Linked DNA regions of Oryzias latipes. The protein of the gene in region 1 purifies or fractionates together with the protein of each later gene. This does not show direct contact. Links are inferred from orthologs where the notes say so. Each region holds a gene or a part of one and is shown on either strand. Other genes may lie near its edges.

Evidence for each region. Proteins that work in one complex are often made in the same cells at the same time.
Region 2: the proteins of itsn1 (region 1) and eps15 purify together in Homo sapiens (co-immunoprecipitation; 3 studies listed by BioGRID and IntAct, with this or other methods). This does not show direct contact. The link is inferred for Oryzias latipes from reciprocal best matches to the Homo sapiens genes ITSN1 and EPS15.

Annotation. Positions count from the first base shown.
Region 1 is NC_019873.2:531,703-535,355, forward strand, and holds the start of itsn1 (intersectin-1), read left to right. Parts: upstream 1-774; 5' UTR 775-959; intron 960-3,653. UniProt on the Homo sapiens protein: Adapter protein that provides a link between the endocytic membrane traffic and the actin assembly machinery. Acts as a guanine nucleotide exchange factor (GEF) for CDC42, and thereby stimulates actin nucleation mediated by WASL and the ARP2/3 complex.
Region 2 is NC_019862.2:31,360,510-31,364,161, reverse strand, and holds part of eps15 (epidermal growth factor receptor substrate 15), read left to right. Parts: intron 1-703; coding exon 704-866; intron 867-973; coding exon 974-1,018; intron 1,019-1,113; coding exon 1,114-1,502; intron 1,503-1,932; coding exon 1,933-2,002; intron 2,003-2,074; coding exon 2,075-2,145; intron 2,146-3,301; coding exon 3,302-3,437; intron 3,438-3,510; coding exon 3,511-3,652. UniProt on the Homo sapiens protein: Involved in cell growth regulation. May be involved in the regulation of mitogenic signals and control of cell proliferation. Involved in the internalization of ligand-inducible receptors of the receptor tyrosine kinase (RTK) type, in particular EGFR.

The DNA.
Region 1 (3,653 bases):
CACATTCTTGAATGCATGTTTAGTCCAGGAAAACTGCTGTAAAAGTTTTTGCAGGTATGTGTGAATGCAATAGTTAGAACGTGGAAGCACAAAACCCAGGGTTACATGTGTTTTCATAGACTTTAGATTGGAAGTGGCTGCTTGAATGCCTGTTGCCAAGGGTTGAGTGACCGTGTTAGAGTTTATATAATTTGTATGCAAAAACAACACTACCAAAATTGAAACAAACAAAAAATGTTCTTTCAAACTGTCTAGATATTTATTTAAGAATAAAAATCTACTTGTTCATTTTCTTTCTATTCTTCTGGCAAATTATAATTTATATTTTGTGCTGAGCTTGCAGTGCTTTGTGTTGTTTCACTTTTAAAGTGTGTGCAAGGAAAAAACAGAAAATGTTTTCAGTTAAAATAAAACTTTAAATGATTGTTTTTTTTTTATTTTATAGCAAATTTTTTTTTACAATTAATCTGGAGTAAATCAATAAATCATAATCATAAAATAAAAACAAATGGATAAATACAAATCTTTACACTAATAATTACTTTTGTAAATAATTATATACTGTCGTTTATAATAAACTAAGGAAAGCAGCAAAACAACCTAAAGAGCTGCTTGGGAGCCGAAAGAGTCGCCTCTTTCTAGCGAACTGAGCCAAAAGAGCCGGTTCTTTATTGCTATCCTGAAGACAGCATCAAACAGAGGCGTTCACTGTGCTGTAATCAGTTTATCTCCACTACCGCGATGTTTTACATCCATAGTCCATCAAATCTCGCGAGATCCATCTGGCCTTAACCCATTTTCCAGTTGTCGCTGTGTCTGTTGGTATCCCGATCCACTAGGAGTCACAAAAAGGATTTTCAAGACGAGCTGCCGCCGTTTTGGATAATATACCATTTTCAGTCGGCTATATGAACACGGAATGAGTACATTTATCCTGTGAATGACAATGAAACTATGAGGTAAGAGAAGTGAAAGACCGAGCGGATTTAGTAGCTGACGTTAGCTCAAGACTGGTTAGCTCGTCTTACTAGCTGTCCGGGAAGGGCAGGTTTGGGTCATTTCAAAAAGATTTATTGAGTAAAAGCGAGATGTGACTTTTGTGCTCTCTGAAACAGTAATGTCTTTGAGCGTGTGGCCGTTAAGGAGCCAGCGGAAAGTGGACGATGGTACATTTTAATAATCCGTCTCTTGGAGTTAGCCTGCTGAACGCTATAAATCACAGCCTCGGGACTCCATAGGTAAGATGACGCTCACGTCCACCCTCCGTAGTCACTCGCACTCGGGTGGTCTTGAGGCGGAAAGGAGATTGATGGACTGGGCTAGCCATAGCGCGATACAGACCGGAAGGGCCCCCTGGCGTGGAGTGTTTCTGCTAATCCTAGCATGTGTAAGTGTTGGTTAAGCTAGCCGGTGCTCCTCTCACCATCTCTTTACGTGCTACAGTGCTCGGGCTTTTTCTGAGGTCATTCTGGGAGGACAAGAGGCCCCTTGTCATCCGGAAATCCAGCTGAAACTTTCAGGAAGTGAGATTCATCTTTCCTGTTCCTGTAAAGACAGCAGCTCCTCATTTCGTAACTCATAAAGATCAGTGATGGCCGGTTACCATGGTTACATAGATGCTGACCAGTTCTGATGTATTTAGGATTGCAGAGAAGACCTATCCTCACAGATGTTAAATTTTCTTCTTTTTTTTGTCAGATGTAAAGGAGTACAACGCTGGATTTTTGCAGAAAATGTCCAGCTAGAATAGATAAGATAAGATAAGATAAGATAAGATAAGATAAGATAAGATAAGATAGGACTTTATTGATTCCTGAAGGGAAATTTAGTTACAGCTGCCAAACAAGAAATATAAGAGTTGGGAAAACAAATAGCAAGAGAAAAAGACAAAAGTAGTGGTGAAAAATGGTGGTAAAAGTACACGTCATAAATAAATAAGTAAATACAGCAGCAATTTAAGCAGTCCTATACCATGTTATTGTACAGTCTACTGCTGTTGGGACAAAGGATGTTTGTCTGTTGTTGTGAATTCGGGGTATACAAATAAAATTGAATTGAATTGAAAAGGATCTCCTGTATTGTTCCTTTTTGCACTGAGGTTGCAGCAGTCTGCGGCTGAATGAGCTACTCATGGTCCTCACCGTCTCATACAGAGGGTGAGAGGGGTTGTTCTGGATGCTGGGCAGCTTGGGCAGCATCCTCCTCTCACCTACAGAGTTCACTGAGTCCAGGGGACACCCAGGGACAGAGTTAGCCTTCTCGATCAGCTTGTCCAGTTTCTTCTTGTCCCTGTCTGTAATTCCACCACTCCAGCAGACCACTGCTTAGAAAGTTGCTGATGCAACCACAGTTTAAAAGAAGGTCCTGAGTAGTGGCCTACACACACCAAAGGACCTCAGTCATGGGGGGCCATCAGTTTATCTCCCTTTCTGCCCATTACCAGCCAATGATGCAGAGGTATTCCTTGCAGCATGAGATGGTGCTTTGTCATGCAAGAAGAGGATTCTGTTACAGAACGCAAGGTGACTCTAACACCTCCTTGCTGGCGTTGCAGCCTTGTTGGGACATGGTGGCCATCCACCCACTACTTCATCCATCTGGACCATCCAGGGTTGTATGTCATCATCAGTAAACAAGACTGTTTGAAAATAAGTCTTCACGTATGTCTGGACCAACTGCAGCTGTTTCTGCTTGCGAGTGTTGTTTAGGGGAGGGGCAAATAGAAGGTTCACGTCAGGGGTGGGCAAACTACGTTCCGCGGCCTGGATCCGGCCCGCCTCCATGTTTGGTCCGGCCCACTGAACAATATCAGAGACCCATGTTTTTTATTTTTATCTGGCAACACGATCAAGACGTGACATTTTCTTCCCTCCTTCTGCAGTCTGTGCTCCAACCTGAAATCCTCTCTGAATCTCCGTCAAACAGAACAGAAGACAGTCTTCCCTTTCTACGTCACAGTTCATCTTTCCCGGTATAATGGTGTTTTAGCAGCTCTCCTAATCAGATGTATTTGTCTGGCAGAAACCTTTCTCATTCTGCCTTTATCTCCATCAACCTGTGTGTATGGAGTTCAGTCTCAATAATCAGAAATGCACACAAACTGTTTCACAAATACAAACGCTCTGATTAACAAATAAACATTTATGCAAACATTTAATATAAATTCACAAATCCATGTGAAGCGTTTCACAAAACACACAAACTGTTCCACAAACATAAATTTGAGGAACAATTGTAATATAAACTCACAGATCATACGATTTACAGAATGTGCATTTACAAATCACCTCTCATTTGTGAATCTCTATTTGTGAGAGAAATGCATATGGTGAATATTGAAACTCATCTAATGTGCCTGGTCAAAAAATGTCATCATTGGCTAATGAATCTGTCAATCAAATTCATCAGCCAACCAGGCGTTTTCACTTTCAGCCAATCATATGAATCTGTGTATCATTCCTTCATCTGTTTTTCAAACTAAAACCAACAATGAAAAAAACAAAAAGACTGCTTTTTAACTGTTGGGGGGAAAACAGATAAACTATTAATGGATTGTATTTTTATTTTCACATGTATATGGAATTTTTTTACAGTCACCTGGAATTTGTTTTTGTGGATGTGTGAACTGGATCAAGGGTGGCAAAGCTAAGTGA
Region 2 (3,652 bases), on another chromosome or scaffold:
TGCAGGCCTATTCTGATTTAAAAAAAAAAAAAAAAAAAAAAAAAAAAATTTTTGGGAGATCGCCACGGTAACACCACTCAACATCTGCAAATGTTTAATTATCGAGTTTCCCAAAGATATTTAAGGAGTTGAGAGGTTCTAGATCAAAATCCTTGGGAGGAGTTTAAATTTAAAAATTATTTTAAAGCTGGTGACCTCTAACGAGGTCAGAGGTCAACGAAACTGAAATTTCATGAAGATAATTGAAACAAAAAGTTTCTTTTCCTGCATTGTGTGAAAATGTTACAATAGCCAAATTTCGTGGTTTGGCAGAAAATGGTAGGTGCTGTGGCCATCCCATAATAATTTCAAACCTACCTTTGTATTTCGCAGACATCTCTTTGGGTTTCTTTTGTGGATTATACATTTTTTGAGCCCCGTTAGGGATTTCGGCCCCCGTTCATTTATTTTATGGTTTTTCCTGCTTTCATTTCATTTTTCTTTTTCTTGGGGGGGGGGTTGTTCACTTTGCCCAAAATGCTTTTTCACCGGGTTATCTGTCTGTGCAAATGAGTTTCTGAGCGTGAACCTTTCCCTTAAATGTGCAGCAGGAAGGAGGAATGGCGGCAAAAGTGTAACCTTTTATCTAGAGAAGGTCGTCTCCACTTGGAGCGTAAACATCTGTCAGCGCCGCGCGCTAACGCTTGTCCTGGGACCCCAACAGGTGGAGTCTCCAGAGCCGGAGAGCAGAGACGACCCGTCAGAGTCTGCAGAGACGGCCGCCTCCTCTTTGCCCCCTCAGGTCGTCCCTCGCTCCTTACCGCCACAGACCAGCCCCCCATCCCTGCCCGAAATGGACTTTTTCCATTCCGACCCGTTTACCGACCGTAAGTGCTGGACGGGTTCTGTTCTGACCGAGCTGATGAAGGTCCAAGCTCCTATGTTTGACAGTCTGATGAAAATATGTCGATGACGTTATTGTTTTTCCTCGCAGACGATCCCTTTAAAGATGATCCCTTCGGAAAATCGGGCGGAGCTGGTGAATTCTTTGATTGACATTGATGTTTATGATAAAAACAGACCCTTTGATGTCAGAGGGGAACTTATCTCCTTTACCTTTTCTGTTTGGGGCAGATCCGTTTGAGGGAGATCCGTTTAAAGGTACAGACCCTTTCGCCGTGGACTCCTTCTTCGCGCAGACCTCCGAAGTCGCCTTCTCCACGGAGGACCCCTTCTCCGCTCCGGCCGACCCGTTCGGTACGACTCCCGGCATACCAGAACCGGACCTGTTTGCGTCCAAGCTGAATGACGCGGCTTCAGGACAAGCGGCGGACCCCTTCGTCTCCAAGGACTCCAATCCTCCTCTAGCGCCCAAAGATCCGTTCAGCTCCGCTCAGAACCAGGGGAACGCCGCCGATCCGTTCAAGGCGAGCCCTGTGGAGGGCGAGACGGACCCGTTTGCCTCTCAGGACGGAGGATCAGACCCGTTCAGCAGTTCTCCACCCAGCTCTGAGCTGACAGTGGTGAGTGGGTCGGCTTTGGTTCCTGATCTGATCCAAATCTGGCCCTTAGATCCCAAACACTGCTTTAAAATACGTAATCTTGTTTTGAAAAACCTTTAAAAGGTTCAAAATTAAACAGCTGAATGTTTAATAATTCATTTTAAATAAAAAACTTTAGGTTCCTTAAAGTCTAAGAGGAAAACATTGTTTTAAATTTGACTTTTTTGTTCTGATTGAAATGAAAAATGAAATCAATTAAACGAAAAAAATCTGATTCTTTAAGTAAAATAATATCAAGACTTAACTTTTAATGTTGAAATACTGCATATAAATGTAGGAGATTAAATAAGTTCTAGTGTTCAATTCTTAATTTTTTGTTTTACTTCATCAGCCCTTAAAAAATAAAATAAAGTTGAATCTTTGCCTTGTTTTGTTTTCCTTCCTTTTATAGAAGCCCCCCTCCCTCAACAACGACCCCTTTGCTCCAGGTGGTACTAAAGGAAACGCCTCCTCAGATCCAGGTATTTCCACAGACGCAGCGCCCCCTTCTGGCAGCACCTGGAACTAATCAGAATCTTTTGCTCTTCTTTCAGATCCCTTTGCTGCCGTGTTTGGTAACGAATCGTTTGGAGAAGGCTTTGCGGATTTTAGTGCCTTGACTAAGGTAAATGGTCGTTTGTTAAAACCTTAAAGTATTTGGACTCTGGCAGAAAGATCCGTTTGTTGTTCTGATTCCAGCAGGAGATTTGAAAGTATGAACATTTACACCCTGTTGGAAAAAAACTCCCACAGTTTTGTTGGAATTGGTTTGAATTTCGGGTGGAGGTAAATTTCTGATGCACTGTGTTGGTGTGTGAAGGAGTATGAGGTACTCTGTTACTCCAGAGTATTCTGATTACTGCTGCCGAGTATGGTTGGATGTTTTTTAGATTTGATCTTTTCCTGCTGCTTCAAAAAGAGCGCAGGGATTCAAGGATTCAAAGGGTTTATTGTCATATTTTTCCTGGTTCAATCAGATGCTTCCTTTGCTGTTCACTCTGAATGCCTTAAGGTTAAAGGTCAAATAAAAGATGGGGCAAGACACTTTGTTTCAACAGCCGACAGTCTTTCTTTTACGCGTCACTCCCTCCACCAGGTCACTGAATCAGAAACTTTTGTTTAGTGCAGCAAAGGTTAAGCATTGTGCCTGAAGCTCCGCCCACCCACGCAGCCTCACCTGTTCTCAGATAAGCCCGCCCACAATCGCTTGGAAGTTGCAATGAACGGCTAGAACTGAGTAGAATTCAACCACTGACATCCCCGTGTTTCTACCATCCCGGTGGTACCGTACGCTGGGTTCTAGCCCCCCCCCTGAATGAAACGGTGATGCAGGTGAAGGTACAGGTGAAGGGATTGTGGACGTCGTACCTGAAGGAGCTCAGGCATCGACTCTTTACCCGGACTGCGTGAGAGTGGCGTCCGTAGAAAATGCTTTTGCTTCCCGCTTAAAGTCAATTCAGTCGCCGTTTATTCCCAATTCGGACACCTACGACAAATCTGTCAGAGGTTTTGAACTTTTGACATGGCTCCGCCTACTTTTATTGAAACATCTGATTGGTCCGTTTATGACATAAATAACTTGAATTACAGAAAAAGGGATGAAGAAGATGGTTCTTCTGACCAACAGAATGAAAGAGTAACAGCTGTTTATCTAAGGAAGTCTGTGGGATTTTAACTTGTTGAAGCCTACTTCCTGTTTGGAACGCCAGGGGGAGGGGCCACTCAGTCCAGTTCTCCCATACAGTCAATGAGCTCCGGTGTTCTGAATGTCTCCGTTTCAGTCAAACGGACCCGACCAGTTTGGCATCAACAACAAGAACCTTTTCCAGGACGAAACCCCGCCTGCAAGTGCCGACGTGCCGCCAGCTCTGCCCCCCAAAACCGGTACACCCACGAGACCTCCCCCTCCCCCCCCAGGTCAGTACCCGTAGGCGCTACGCCTCGGCTGTCTGTCGTAACGCTCAAGCCTGTCTGTGCCCCCCCCCGGCAGGTAAGAGATCGTCTGTCTCTAGAACCGAGTCCTCCGACTCCTCCTTCCAGCGAAGAGCGCCGTTCCTCCCACAGACCGCCGGGGACTCCTCCTCCTCCTCCTCCTCCTCCTCCTCCTCCTCCCTGCCTGTCAAGGACCCTTT